2 linked regions of the Rattus norvegicus genome follow. The protein of the gene in region 2 purifies or fractionates together with the protein of the main gene of each other region. This does not show direct contact. Links are inferred from orthologs where the notes say so. Each region holds a gene or a part of one and is shown on either strand. Other genes may lie near its edges.

Evidence for each region. The genes of interacting proteins can lie anywhere in the genome.
Region 1: the proteins of Sf3a2 (region 2) and Ddx42 purify together in Homo sapiens (affinity purification with mass spectrometry; 3 studies listed by BioGRID and IntAct, with this or other methods). This does not show direct contact. The link is inferred for Rattus norvegicus from reciprocal best matches to the Homo sapiens genes SF3A2 and DDX42.

What each region holds. Positions count from the first base shown.
Region 1 is NC_086028.1:91,667,476-91,674,865, forward strand, and holds part of Ddx42 (ATP-dependent RNA helicase DDX42), read left to right. Parts: intron 1-210; coding exon 211-387; intron 388-1,617; coding exon 1,618-1,746; intron 1,747-2,448; coding exon 2,449-2,548; intron 2,549-3,082; coding exon 3,083-3,130; intron 3,131-3,774; coding exon 3,775-3,872; intron 3,873-6,017; coding exon 6,018-6,294; intron 6,295-7,390. UniProt on the Homo sapiens protein: ATP-dependent RNA helicase that binds to partially double-stranded RNAs (dsRNAs) in order to unwind RNA secondary structures. Unwinding is promoted in the presence of single-strand binding proteins.
Region 2 is NC_086025.1:9,560,750-9,568,802, reverse strand, and holds the start of Sf3a2 (splicing factor 3A subunit 2), read left to right. Parts: upstream 1-2,603; 5' UTR 2,604-2,642; intron 2,643-5,037; 5' UTR 5,038-5,073; coding exon 5,074-5,199; intron 5,200-5,308; coding exon 5,309-5,380; intron 5,381-6,178; coding exon 6,179-6,225; intron 6,226-6,568; coding exon 6,569-6,678; intron 6,679-7,204; coding exon 7,205-7,254; intron 7,255-7,335; coding exon 7,336-7,476; intron 7,477-7,564; coding exon 7,565-7,633; intron 7,634-7,710; coding exon 7,711-8,053. Other genes in the region: Plekhj1 (pleckstrin homology domain-containing family J member 1), read right to left, coding at 433-496, 574-664, 1,659-1,725, 1,966-2,215, 2,329-2,507. UniProt on the Homo sapiens protein: Component of the 17S U2 SnRNP complex of the spliceosome, a large ribonucleoprotein complex that removes introns from transcribed pre-mRNAs.

The DNA.
Region 1 (7,390 bases), on a different chromosome or scaffold from region 2:
TAATAAGATCTGATGCCCTCTTCTGGTGTGTCTGAAGATGGTGACAGTGCACTCATAATAAATAAACAAATAAATCTTTAAAACAACAACTGCAAAAATTATAAAAAAGAGAAAAGAAAATGAATGTCAGCTGTAGTCATTTTTCCCAAGACATTAGTTCATCTTTAGAATTGAGTGCATATACCTTTTCTTTCCTTTCTTCTTCTCTAGGGTGTGCCCGTAGCACTAAGTGGTAGAGACATGATCGGTATTGCTAAAACAGGCAGTGGGAAAACCGCAGCCTTTATTTGGCCCATGTTGATTCACATAATGGATCAGAAGGAGTTGGAACCAGGTGATGGACCAATTGCAGTGATTGTGTGTCCTACTAGGGAGCTTTGTCAACAGGTATGTGCTTCCTGTGAAAGGCCCCTTTCTGCATTTGGACTAGCAAGGACAGTGAGTAGAACGATCTATAAAGTTTAGTTATTGTTGCTTGGAGGTGCGTGCTTGGCACACACATACATGTGGAGTCACATACGAGAAGTCTGAGGTTGACTTTGGGTGTCGTCAGGGTTCACTCTCACATTTGCTGAGCTATTACTGCTAGCCTGGCTGCGAGGCTGTTCCACATATTCTGTCTCCACCTCCTGGATGCTCCTGGGGTCCTTGGCAGGCACGTCCCACCAGCTTGTGTGGCTTCTACAAGTCACAGTGCCATTCCTCACTTGCATGACAAGTGTTTAGCCCACTGAACCATCTCCCCAACTTCCTCTGACTTTTGTTTTAAATATGATAAAACTGTATACAAAATTGGCCATCTTACCCATTTTAAATATCTAGTTCAGTGGCTGACATTAAGTTTTTTACATTATTATCTTCCCTGTGAAGTCTTGAAAAAATGTTACATATTTTCAATAATAAGGATTTTTTTTTTAACTCTCAAAATGGTGTGGGTATTGTGGGAATTGTTTATATTATAAGCTCACAGTGTTTTCTGTGTAGTGAGTTCAGTTTTCTTGATAGAAAGACTGGATCAAGAAGAAGGTAAGTGATTCAAGTGAAGACCATAGCCTTGTTCTGTGGTTAAGCTGGGTGTGGTAGCCGATGCATCCTGTTCCAGCGCTCAGGAGGCCAGGGCAGATTCAGGACAGACAGAAACAGAGATTCTACCTCAAAACAAAAAAACAGAAACTAAAGAAACAAAAGAATTTTGACGTTAAGCATGTTCTAATGATCATGATTTTAAACAGGTTTTTGTTTTTTATGGTTGTTATTGTTTTGGTGGTTGGGGTGTGTGTGCGTGTGCGTGCGTGCGTGTGTGTTTCAGTAATAGGAATTGAACACAACCCTTGAATGCCAGACAAGTGTTGATCTATATGCCCAGACCTGTTTCTTTTTCTCCAGCTTGTTTTTTGAGATTGTGTCTTGTTAAGTTACCCAGGTTAGATTTAAAACTTGCCATCTTTCTGCTTTAACCACCTAGTTAAATTACAAGCCTATACTATACCACTAGGCACAGCTACATTTTAATTTTCTATAATAGCACATACTGTGTTTTCAGAACTCAAACTGGGTAAAAACTCTATTTTTTTTTTTAAGTTTATAGTTTTTAAAATATTATTAACAACTTCTTAGATCCACGCCGAGTGCAAGCGTTTTGGGAAAGCATATAATCTTCGATCAGTGGCAGTATATGGAGGAGGGAGCATGTGGGAGCAGGCCAAGGCCCTTCAGGAAGGGGCAGAGATTGTTGTGTGTACCCCGGTAAGTATATCTTGTCTTCAGATGTGTTGTCTGTCTTTCCTGATAGAGAAAGCATGATTGCTCTTGAGGGACTCCCTCTAAATATGGGAGAGCTGGGCAAGGATATCCTGTGAGGCGCCAGCCTTTGCTCTCGTTCATTTTGATTGGCTGACTGAACAGCAGTCTGGTTATAATGTCCATGACTAATGTATCAGCAGCTCTAAGTTCCTATTTTAAACTGGGTTTCTTAGGCTCTCTTAAAAGCTGGGTCTATGGTTACCAAGAACATTAGGAACCATAGAGATGCTCAGATAATGGTTAGACCTGCCCAGGGGATGTAGGGTAGGCATAAAATTCATCCATAAGATTTTAAATCTTTTCAGAGTACATTACAAGAAAGGTCCTGACCCATTTGCCCATAGACTTTAAGCTAGAATTAATGTAAAAGAAGAACTTGAAGTTTTCAGAATTCTAGTCTCACTTAGTATGGTGGTGCCTGCCTGTAGTCCCAGCACTTAGAGGTAGCAGTCAGACCTCTGTGAGCCTCAGACTATCTGTGAACAGTACCCAAAAGTGCTTTTTCTACTCTCTGGGTTTGGTATAGAAAGACTGTCATATCATTTTGGTTCAAGACCAAAGAATTGACACTTTTCCAGGAGTATATCTAAAGAGTGTCTTTGAATGATTTGATTATACTTACTACTCATTTTGTGACTCTCCCAGGGTCGGCTGATTGATCATGTGAAGAAAAAAGCTACCAATCTTCAAAGAGTCTCTTACCTTGTGTTTGATGAAGCTGATCGAATGTTCGACATGGGGTTTGGTATGCCTTGAGTATTAGTTTCTCCTGTCCCTAGTCTTAAGTTAGTTTTTTCCGTATCTTTGTAGAGTTAACCAGTACTTTTCGTCATGAAAGAAGTTAAAAACTCTTCGGGGTTTCAAATAAAGGGATAGGCCAAGCCATAAACCATTTGTAGTTTTCTGAAGAGAAGTGTGCTAGTCTTGACTGTGTTGAAAAAATTTGCACGTATCTTCAGAAAGAAGGAATGTTTTCTGTTCTTCACTTTCACTTGCAGGCCTTTGAAGATTAAAGTTGGTTAAAGTCTATATTCCTATGGATAGGTGAATACTGAATCATCCAGGGTCCTTTTCTTAACTGAGCTATACAAATTTCTAAATAACCACTATCTACCCAGTTCAGTTATGTTGGGTGTTTTGAAATTTCATACTGAATGGTGTCTAGGAGTTTCAAGGCTTTTTTAATTCGTGAAAGTTCTTGGATTTTACTAAAGTGAATTTTCACACCTGTCTTAAGTACATTACAGTAGTGTGTTGATAACTGTTCTGTTTCTTTCAGAGTATCAGGTTCGGTCCATAGCAAGTCATGTCCGTCCTGACAGACAAAGTATGTATGAAGCAGCTGTATGCTATCTCTGTATTCGAAGTGAACCCTGATCCTTTATAAGTACTCATTGCTATAGAAGCAAAAATTGCTATTTATGTACTGACGAGTGCTGCAAAGAAGAGAGTTAATGACATTTATTTGACCTAGAAAAGACCTTAGACATCATCAGGTGTCTTGTTGTTGCCTCTGGTATCGAACCTATGGCTTCATGTACGTTAGACAAACACTCTACCTCTCTGAGCTATATATGTATATCCAACCTCCTTTTTAACCTTGTTTTTTAGGTAGAGTCTTGCTAAGATGACTAGGCTGTCCTTGAACTCACTATAGCCCAGTCGGCTGTAAACTTGCAGTACTCCTTCATGCTTCCTCCTCCAAATAGCTGGGATTATGGGTTCATGACACCAGGCCCAGCACACTGTTCACTTTTTATTGGGACTAAGACTGAACTTAAATAATTTCCTGCAGTATAAATCTGATTCAAAGTTAAGTCTTTTCTTAAACTATTATGGCAACTCATTCATTTCTTGTTTGAAAATGAAGTTAAATCATTTTTATTTAGTGAATCAGTTACATTACAGAAGCTTAAAGAATGAATTCAGTAAAAAAATGATTTTTAACAGAATTTGCTTTATCTTTTTTAGCTCTCTTATTCAGTGCAACTTTTCGGAAAAAGATTGAAAAATTGGCCAGAGACATCTTGATTGATCCTATCCGAGTGGTACAAGGAGACATCGGAGAGGTAATCCTGCAGAAGGCAGGGAGGGTCCTGGGATTGATTTGTCATAAGGACGTGGAGTTTAGTTCTTAAGGAATGATTGCTTTGTTGTTGGATTCTTGGTTTTTGCTTTGCTTTGAGATAGGATTTCTCTATAGCCCTGGATGCCCTGGAACTAGCTCTGTAGATAAGCACTCTGCCTCCCAAGCGCTGGGCGTAAAAGCAGGCGCTGCCGTACCGGCTCTTCAGGAGTGACTTAAGAATTACAGCGTTACACTTAAGTATGAAGCAACTTGGTTAGATTTAGTTTATTTTACTATTTTTAAAATGATTTGTTTATTTTTATTTTACGTGTGTTGGTGTTCTGCCTGCTTGTATGTGTGTGACAGTATTGGGTCCTCTGGAACTAGAGTTACAGATAGTTGTGAGCTGCTATGTGGATGCTGGGAATTGAACCCCTGACTTTTGGAAGAGCAGCTAGTGTTCTTAAAGGCTAAGTCATCTATCTCTCCAGCCCCTGGATTTGTTTTAAGATATACACGTTAAGGGAATCGTGCAAACAAGAGGGGCACAGACAAGATGATTCATAGAAGGGTATATGGGATTTTTTTTTTTTTTTTTTTTTTTTTTTGAGACAAGGTCTCACTATGTAGCTCTCTCTGGCTGTCCTGGAACTCACTGTGTGTAGACTGGCCTTGAACTCAGAAATATCCCTGTTTCTGCCTACTGAGTGTTGGGACTAAAGGCGTGAAACACCAGCTGGCTTTTTCCACATGTTTTAAAGTTTTAAAAGAGCTGGGTAGCAGTGGCACACTTCTTGAATCCCGGCTCAAGCAGCAGAGGCAGGTGGCCAACCTGGTCTACATAGTGAGCTCCAGGACAGCCAGAGATACTACACTGAGAAGCCCTGTCTCACAAACGATCTTCCTGGAAGCCTCAGGAAATTAGAACAGAACAGACATTCACTGACTGTTAAAGCAGACTACACAGGGTGGCATGGAATCCCTGCATATGCCCTTACGCGGTGATTTCTCTGAGTTGGAATTTGGAATTCAGTTAAGGTTGTTAATTCCTTGGGGCCAGTAGATGGCTCAGCCAGTTGTGCTTGCCTCTAAACCTGAATTCAATCCTCATTTCACGTGGTCAAAGGTGAAAACTGATTTCTGTAAATTATTCTTTGACCTTCACACGTGTTCCTTAGCACATGGAGGCCAGAAACTTTTACTTTTTTTTTTTTAATGTAAATGTCTTGGTTTTTGTTGCTGTGATAAATACCATGACCAAAAACAACTAGGGAAGGAAAGGGTTTATTTTAGTGTACAATCGAGTGAAGAGAAGTCAGGACCTGAAACCCAGGCCATGGAGAAAGGAACACTGTTCCTTGACCTGCTCCCATGACTTGCTCAGCCTATTTTCTTATACAACCCAGGACCACCTACTCCAAGATGTTGTTACCACCTCCAGTAGGCTGGACTCTCCCTCTCAATTAACTAAGAAAATACTCCACAGATTCCCTACAGTAATTTAGTCAATGGAGGTGCCTCTTTTGTGTCAATTTGATAAAAATCCAACTAGGACAATAGAGTTTTTAACACATAACTACAAATATTCAGGGGATACAGTGTGGCAGTTTAATACATGTATGTAATGTGTAATTACATACATGTATTAAATATCTAACACCTCCAATAGTTATCCTTTCTTGGTGTTGGAAACAGATCTTTATTGAAATACATATTTATTAGTCAACCATATCTACAACTTTTCATGATTATTATTAAAGTTTCTGAGTGGTAAGCACCTTTAAATGTCGGGGTCTTAATTGTTAATGTACTTACATATAAATTGTGTTTGACAGCGAGCGGGCAGGCCCCTGAAAAGTACTTCCCAGGGAATGATAAAAATAGGTATATAACAGCCATTACAGATTGTTTTGGCATACAAATTAGAAATGAACATACCAGGGGGAGTTGGTGAGCAAGGTGCTTTAAAGGAATAGTAAGTTTTAAGCTTACTAAGTAAGTAAGTAACTTAAGTAAGTAAGGATTTGACATACTTAAGGAAACCCCAAAAATAAGAGGGTAATCCCATGCAGGTAGAAAATATAATACCTAGTCTTTGATGTCTCCTATGGCACCAGTCATGATTGGTTGTTTTATTTCCTCTTAGGCAAATGAAGACGTAACACAGATTGTGGAGATTCTCCATTCTGGACCTAGTAAATGGAACTGGCTCACTCGGCGTCTGGTAGAGTTTACTTCTTCCGGGAGTGTCCTCTTGTTTGTTACCAAGAAAGCCAACGCTGAAGAACTGGCCAATAACCTTAAGCAGGAGGGTCATAATCTTGGTCTGCTCCATGGGGACATGGATCAGAGTGAAAGAAACAAGGTCATTTTAGATTTTAAGAAAAAAGACATCCCCGTCCTGGTGGCCACTGACGTTGCAGGTAAGAGTACAAATTTCATAACCCGAGCCTTTATTTTATGGCTGTTGCCCTTCCCTGTAATGAGACCTATATAGAGCAGTGGCTCTGTGGCCACCTTTACTTACTGTTCTTGGTCATCAGAGGATGCCTTGGGGAAAACAGTTATGCCCTCATGTTCACTGCAATGTGTATCTTAAGTTAGTAATATAAGTTTGGCTTTACCCTGCTAAGGTTAGCAGCTGCCCTTAAAAACTAGTTTTTTGGGGCTGGAGAGATGGCTCAGGGGTTAAGAGCACTGACAGTTCTTCCAGAGGTCCTGAGTTCAATCCCCAGCAACCACATGGTGGTTCACAACCATCTATAATAAGATCTGATGCCCTCTTCTGGTGTATCTGAAGACAGCTACAGTGTACTCATATACATAAAATAAATAAACCTTTTTAAAAAAAAAAGCTAGTTTTTTGGACCTGCGAGATGGTTCACTGGGTACTTGCTAACCAGCCCTGACAGCCTGAGCTTGGTACTCAAGACTCAGATATGGTGGAACGAGAAAACCTGACCCCACAAGTTGTTTTCTATCCTCTATACATAAGCTGTGGTGTATGCATGTATGCATGCATACATGCATACATACACACACACACATGCACACACAGGTTCTGGGTACTGAACTCAGGTCCTCGTGTAAACACAATACTAACTGAATTACAGCCCTTAGAGGACTAACGTATGGGGTTTGGGGGGGCTTATTTTAGTTTGTTTGTTTGTTTGGGGGTTTGTTTTGGTGGGTTTTGTTTTTGTTTTGTTTTGTTTCGTTTTACTTTTCAAGACAGGATTTCTCTATGTAGCCCTTGCTGTCCTGGAACTCACTCTGTAGACCAGGCTGGCCTCAAACTCAAGAGATTCACCCGCCTCTGCCCCCTGAGCACTGGGACTGAAGGTGTGCAGCACCCTGCCTGGTTTGTATTTTTGAGATGAATTCTTATGATAGCTCAAGTGACCTTGAACTCCAATCCCGCCTGCATCTTTCAAGTATTGGGATTGCAGGTATGATTCCAGTAAAATTATTCACAGGATTTTTTTTAATATTCATGTTACTCCCAATAGAGTGAACTAC
Region 2 (8,053 bases):
AGTGGGCTCAGCACTGAAGGCCAGCACCAACGCCTGCTCTATCAGCAGGAGTGGGGTTCACAGCTTTAGCATTATACATTCATCTGGCCATGGACAGGGGCGCTGTCCCTGGATGTGCACAGTCAAAGGGTGCCAGCAGGGAGATGGCAGGGAGAGCAAGGACCACAGACCCTGCCTACCTCCTCTGGACCTTTGAACAGATGTATTTAAACCTATTTAAAAAACAAAACTTCCCAGGGTAGCCGGGGGCCCAGAGGGGGTCAGTCCAACACATGTAGCTGGGAGCCAATGCAAGAAGCATCCTTAGGCAGGCTACTCAGCTGGAACCTGGCCTCCTCGGAGATGCCGAACTGCTCCAGCGGGTCCTGTGGAATGCACAGTGATTGTGAGCAGGGCCAGGGAAAACTGCCCGGTCCCTCCAGCCCCACACACCTTGCCGGTCATCTTCCTGATCTCATTCCTGTAGAAGATGAGGCTCCGTCTCATGTATTCGTAGCTGGAGGAAAGGGCTGGGCTCACTGGTCACATTCCCCCATGTTTCCACCCAGCTCCCAGCAGTCCCTAAAGCCCCACCTGGCCCGCTGCAGAGCCTCCATCCATTCCTGGCACTGCTCTTGGCTACAGCATTCAAAGTGATATTTCCTGCTGAGGTCTTCCACGAAGCCTGGAAAGGGATAAAGGAAAGACGCCACCTCTTGTCACTGTCAGGTTGGTCTATATCCTGCTGGCCCCAAGTCCCAGCTTCTTCTCAACAGGGTTTCAAACTGAACTTGTTTCAAACTTGTTCTAACACCAAGCCATCTTCTGCCTGTCACAGGCTGAAGAATCCTGACCTCTGAACTCACAAATAGGGGACCCACTGGGAAGTTGGATTATTGGGAATGTAATTGGCTAAGTAAGGTCATTCCCAAAATAAATGGGAATAGGACAGGGCAGATGGCTCAGTGGTTAAAGTGCCTCATGTAATCGTGAGGCCCTGAGTTCAAGCCCCAGCAGTGCACGTCAAAGAGCAGAGTGCAACTCCGTGCTGAAGAGACCGATTTGCTGGCCGGTCAATATAGCTTAAAAACAAGTCCGGGTTGGGACAGTGAGGTGGCCAAGCAGGTAGGAGCCTGCTGACAAGCCTAATGACCAGTGTTTTATGTTGGAGGCCTACACAGTGGAAGATGAAATCCAACTACACAAGTTTTCCGCTGGCCTTTCTGGCATACTCACACCCAGAAACCCATGCGTGCACATGTACAAGAAGCAGAAAATAGGGGTACAGATGGAGAACCCCACTGGATGACAGAGGTAGACACGATGGACAAATCTCTACAAGGTACGCAGCAGAAAGACCTCTCCAGAGGTGAAGGCTGAGACAGGTGTCCTTCAAGGCCTCAAAGCCCTGCCCGCACACTCACTCCCACGGCAGAGACTGCTTCAGTTATACACACCAAGTTCACAGACTGCACCTCTCTCGGCCGTAAACCGGCAGAGGATCGGGGAAGAAACTAAGATGAGAACCTGACCCAGTGGTCACTCTGAGTGACAGCTGGGACAGTCATGGGCCACCAGCGGACGCGAGATCCAGGACAAATGGAGATTCCTAAGGGAGTAAAAAGGATCGCGTGCGCGGAGCAGAGTCCGGGGTGGAAAGTGGGGAACAGAACACTTACTGATGGAGAAGCCTCCCGGCTCTTCCTGGGCCACTCTGCAGCGCTCCAGCAACAGGGCTCCGAGGGGCTGCGCGAGACACGGCCATGAGCACCGGCCTCTGGGCCGCGCGGGTCCCCCGCGCCCCCCACACCCCTACCTCGGCCTCGTCCGGGCGGAAGTAAAAGAGGAAGTTGACCACCAGCTTCACCAGCCGCCTCTTGGCCACTGCAGGCAGAGGGCGGTGTCAGCGCGCAACTGCTGTCATCCGCCCACCGGGGAACCCCGCGGCCCGCCCAAGTGTCCCAGCCCCGGCCCGGACCAGCTCACCGCTGCCCTTCTTGGGGCCCCGCATGCCCAGCTCGGCCGCCATCTCTGCCGGCTGCCGGGACAGCGCTTGCAACTCTTTCTCGTTGTACCGCATCTCGCCGCCCGGATCCGCGCGAACCAAAACGCGCCCTGCCTCTCGGCCGCCGTCCTGCCCGAAGCCGCTACTAGCGCCACAAAAGTCTCAGGAAGCGACCTCGTAAGTCCCAACGGTGCTACTGCGCCTGCGCGTTGTTGGGCGTGTTGCGTGACGCTAGTTGGTGGGTCAGCACAGTAGAACAAGGAGTCGGACGGGAAGGAAATCGCCCGTCCTTAAATAACCGTCAGACACACTGAACGTGGGGTGTAAATTTAGACTCATAGCACCTCACGATACGCGAAGCTCGTTCCCGGGCCTGTGAACCCTGAGGTTTAAGTCCTGTCGCGATAGTCAGCGCCAACAGAGTTAGGGCGGAGCAAGAATTCGTAGACAATGCAGTGCGCACGCGTACTCCGTGTCCCGGCGCTCTTTTTTTTTTCTCCCGCCTCCCGTAGGGGGAGTCCATTCGCTGGGCATGCGCACACATGAAACTCCGCCTTCCTTGCCCCCGGAAGTGATTGCTCAAGCGGTCGTGCGCATGCGCACAACAAAATCGCGGCATTCGGGGAGGTTAAGCCCAGTTACCGAGGCCTTGGTGTTGGTAAGGAACTACGCGGTTTGTCGGTGGCGGCTGCCCCGTCTGTGGGTCTTGAAAGTAGGAGCGAGAGCGTGGGGCCTGGCGGGGCAGCGGCCGCCCTTTCCCCTTAGGCGTGGCGCACCCTCGCCCTAAGAGCGCGGTCTCGCGAGGTCCTTTGAGTCGTGGCGTGATCGCGGACTTTTGTGGCGGTTCCGTGGCCTCTAGGGTGGTTCGGGTTCTTGGAATGTCATTTAACCTGCTTGTTTGCCTCAGTTTCCCTCGCCGTTAGTCAGGGCCATGGCGACTACTGCTCCTGTCCACTGTAGTAGGTCTGTTGCTCGGATTAAAAGATAACGGTATATGCATTTAAAAGTGATTTGCGGGGTTGGGGATTTAGCTCAGTGGTAGAGCGCTTGCCTAGCAAGCGCAAGGCCCTGAGTTCGGTCCCCAGCTCCGAAAAATAGAAAAAAGAAAAAAAAAGTGATTTGCCTTTAGACCAGGCAGGCCTTCTCCCAGACCGTGACCTTAACATATACTACTCTTCTGTTTCTATTGATCGTTCATCGGTAATCTTAGAGTAGTCCGTGAGGTCGCACGGCTCCCAACCATTCATCCTGGTCTCTTGTCCCAGGCTTCACTTGTGAGTCCATCCAGTCATCGGCACAATTTTACTTTATTTCAGACAGCGTCTCACGGCATAACTGAGGCTGACCTGGAACCCTGTGTGGACTAGGCCGATTTCGAGCTCACATACACTCCCATACCTCTGCCTCCCGCATACTGAGATTTACAGCGTGTGCCACTACACTTGACTGTTTTGTTTTAAGGAAGGTTTATTTTGACTGATAGTATGAAGGTGCAGTCCACTATGGTGGTCGTGTTACAGCCATAGTCAGGAAGCAGATAAAAGCTGGTATTGGAATCCCTTTCCCGTGTTTTTAAAGATTTTTTTTCCAAATGTGTGTCCATGTGGAGCTTCATGTGTGAGTATGATAACGTCAAGTCCAGGAGAGACTGTCAGGTTCCCTGGAGCTGGAGTTTCTGGTGGTTGTGATCTGCCACTAAGTCATCTTGCCAGCCTACCCAGCACCCTTTTGTCTTTTATTTGAGACAGATCTCACTGCACAGCCCAGTTTGGTCTCAAATTATACCCATCATCTTTCTACCTTGGCCTCTAAGGGAGCTGGAAGGAAATGTATACACTGCCATGCCCCATGTTTTCTGTTTCCTGAGGTTGGGAACTGTTGGTGGGCTGAGGCGGTAGTTCATTGGTGAGCGTTTGCAAAACTTTGTGCTCCATCCACTGGGCCAAGCAGTATGCTCACCCAGGCCAGTTTTATTCTGCTTTCCTTCCAAAGCTGATGAACTACATTTCTGCAGTGGATATCCATGCACTCAACCTCAAGCATGCCCCCCCAGGGGACCCAGTGCATGCTGGACAAGTGTTCTCCTTGAGTGGCACCGTCAAGTCTGTGGATGGACACCCAGCCTCCCTGGGGAGGCCAGCCACAGAGTCCTATGTTCTCAAGAGTTGTCTTTGCCTGAGCCTGGAGTGGTTTTCCATCCTGCTGCTGCTGCTTGTGGGTGCCCCTAACTCTGAGAAGCCAATTGATTCTCCCACCGTTTGGCTGTACTCTCGTGTCTGGCCAGCTTCATCTCTGGGAGTGTGTCTGTTGGTAGCTCTGGATGATGTAGACGATGCCCTTCTCAGTCTTTGGCTGAGTACAAAACATCTAATAGGCTGCTCCTGTCCCGCCACTTCAGTGTACACCTCTCAAGCCGTCCCTCTCAGCACCTAGAGCATCCTGTATCCTTTGCCTTCTGGCCTCTTCCTCCTTGACAGCCAGTGCTGTCAGTGGCCTGTCAGCCTTGAGCACACTCTAGTGACATTGTAGTAACTGGGTACCTGCCCTCAAGGTTCTTGGTCACATTTGTAGAGCCCCTTGTGCTATGGGAGGCACCAGTGATGATGACAAGAGCTGTCTCTACTTGTCTCCTGGTCGCTGGCCCTGGGTTTACTGTAGGTTTACCAGTAGACTGAGTAGTCTTAAGTGTTCTGCCTCAGGTAACACTGTCTGGAGGCTTTGGCTGAGCCTCCAAGGTGAGACCCTTGGTATCGAGCATTCCTTGTGTCAGGCAGAGGAGGGTGTGTCCTCTAATGCCAGCAGAGGTAGGCAGAGGCCAGCCTAATGTGTGAGGAGAGTTCTAAGATAGCCATGACTACGTAGAGACTCCTCCCTCAATAATAACAACAACAATAATAGTAATCATATGTTACATCAGGGAGAGGCGGCTCAATGGTAGTCACAGCACTTGGGAGGATCAGGAGGTCAGAGAAGGGATGGCTTGCATGCTGGGCCATCCCGCGGTCCTAGCATCATCAGCAGGGTTCTAAGCCTTAGTCTTCCTTGCTCCCCAGGTTTCTCCTGTCCCCTAAAGTACCCAGGCCTGCATCATGGACTTTCAGCACCGACCTGGAGGCAAAACTGGGAGTGGGGGCGTGGCCTCCTCCTCAGAGAGCAACCGGGATCGAAGAGAGCGCCTGCGGCAACTGGCCCTGGAAACCATCGACATCAATAAGGTGGGGGAGGGAGAGTCTCCAGGCCTGCAGAGCCCTCACCTTGCCCACCTTGGTCCTTGGGTCCCGGGGCCAGGCTGTGCGGTCTCACGGTACATTTCTTCACTCCCAGGACCCGTATTTCATGAAGAACCACCTGGGATCCTATGAGTGCAAACTCTGCTTGACTCTGCATAACAATGAGGTACCTGCCCACCAGACTTCCACCATTCTGCACTGGCCTGGTGACACTGGTCGGCCTTGGACCTGTCACCTGGAGCCAACCACTCCCTTAGTATTGCTCTGGTTTCCTTGAATTCCTTTTTTTCTTATCCCTGGGGGTCAGAGCTCAGCCTAGGGCTTAGCCATGCTGGGTAAGAAGTGAACTTCATCCCTGGTCAGTCCTTGAGGCAGCACTGACTAGCCTGGGGCTCACTGTACTCCTGATGCCCCTGCCTCTGTCCCTGCCGGCCCTCTAACATAACAACACAGGTTGGCTGGGCACCAGCTACTCCTTATCCTTTTCCTCTGACTGTTTGCTCTGTGAATGCCTTGCAAATAGTAATGGATGCCTCTGCACTCTGAGGGCTCAGGGAGAGGTGTGGCTGCTGACTCTTTCTGGGGGGAGAGGACTCTGGGAGTTGCCTCCCCACCCCTCTCACTGGAGGACCAGATCAACAGTGGATGGAACACATTTGGCTGTGTTGACAATGGGGTGGTGATGAGCAGTGCCCTAGGCCCCACACCTCTGTTGGGAGCTCCTTCAAACCGCTGCCCATCCCCGGCGGTGGGCTCAGCACTGAAGACTGACGGTGTTGCTCTACCCCTACTCAGAGGAATCTCTGGGCAGGGATGGGTGCAGTAACAAGTCACAAGTCTCCCAAGTGCAGCCACAGCTACTGTAAGGCCCCGCAGGCTCCCCAGGGCTACCATTACAGCTGCTCTGCGAGGTGCCGGTCCTGCCCGCCCCACCCTCAGCTGCCTGTCTTCTTTCTCTTTGCAGGGGAGCTACCTGGCCCATACCCAAGGGAAGAAACATCAGACTAACTTGTGAGCGCTCACAGCCCTGGTACCCCAGTACCACAACGCTGCTACTCAGGAGGGGACCCTTCACTTGAGCTGTGTGGATGGGGAGGGAAGGGGACAGGTGGCCTGCATCTACATTCTCAGCCCCACCCCCACCCTGTGTTTCAGCCTGACTGTCTCAGTACAGAGCAGATGGCCAAGGGGCAAGGACAGTGGTGGTGCCACATTGTCACCTATCCTGCCCTGCTTGGTGTATCCCAGGGCTGAACCACCCAATCTTCTTGAACTCAGAGAGCAGGGGCTCTGGCACCTGGGTGCTTGGCCTTGGTGACTGGTGGAGGGGCCAAGCACCTGCGTCTGTTCACAGGGCCCGGCGAGCTGCCAAGGAGGCCAAAGAAGCCCCCGCCCAGCCTGCACCAGAGAAGGTCAAGGTGGAGGTGAAGAAGTTTGTGAAGATTGGCCGCCCTGGCTACAAAGGTGTGTGTGTGTGTCTGTGTGTGATGGCCAGCCCACAACTGTGGGCTGTGGCATGAATGAATCCTGGGCTCTGGTACCCGACATACTCTTGACCCTGGGACACACAGCCACCTTCTCTGTTCTCATAGCAGTCATTCCCTTAGTGTTGCCAAGAGCCCCCAGGTGCTGATAAGCACCATTCCTCACTGGCAACTTCCAGAAGAAGGAGGGGGAGGCAGGTGGTTGCAGTCACTGCTCTGGAACCCCTGTGGCCAGAAAACCAGTTATATGACCAGCAGGAACCCTGGGAGCCAAGTTCCCAAGAGTCCTCTTTGGCAGGCAGGGTCCTGGTGAGGCTGACACAGGACTGCCCCGCCATGCTCTTCCGAGACTTCGGCTGCTGTCCCTACTTAGAATGCTGGGTTGGGCTGCCCTCACTTTAGGTCCCAGCCATGTGGCCTCAGGGCAGAGAGGCCAGAACTTGTACGTAGGGACCCTGTTTTGGTGTGCACCCATGCACATGACAGCCCCATCCCCTCTGTTTCAGTGACCAAGCAGAGGGACACAGAGATGGGCCAGCAGAGCCTACTGTTCCAGGTGAGGTGGGACCAGTCGGGTGGACAGGACACAGGGGTTGGGGGCTGTGTTTGTGCCAACACTGCCATGCATGTTCCACAGATTGACTACCCTGAGATTGCAGAGGGTGTCATGCCCCGCCACCGCTTCATGTCTGCCTATGAGCAGAGGATCGAGCCCCCGGACCGCCGCTGGCAGTACCTCCTCATGGCTGCTGAGCCCTATGAGACCATCGCCTTCAAGGTAATGACCCTGCAGGAGAGACAGAGCAGGGCAGCTAGATCCAGCCCTTCCCTGGGGTGCTGCAGCCTCTGCCTCCCTCCCTCCCTAGGTGCCGAGCCGCGAGATCGACAAGGCTGAGGGCAAGTTTTGGACCCACTGGAACCGAGAGACCAAGCAGGTGAGGCTCCGAAGGCCCTGCATGGGTATCCCCCGGCCCCACGCCCTGCCCAGTCACTGACACACCCTCCTCTGCAGTTTTTTCTTCAGTTCCACTTTAAGATGGAGAAGCCCCCAGCCCCTCCCAGCCTCCCAGCAGGACCCCCAGGCGTCAAGCGGCCCCCGCCCCCACTCATGAACGGACTACCTCCTCGCCCACCACTCCCTGATGCCTTGCCCCCACCTCCACCTGGTGGCCTGCCTCTTCCTCCTATGCCCCCCACTGGGCCTGCTCCCTCTGGGCCCCCTGGACCTCCCCAGATGCCCCCACCAGCTCCTGGGGTACACCCCCCAGCCCCAGTAGTACACCCACCAACATCTGGGGTCCATCCCCCAGCTCCTGGGGTGCACCCCCCAGCCCCAGTGGTTCATCCACCAACAT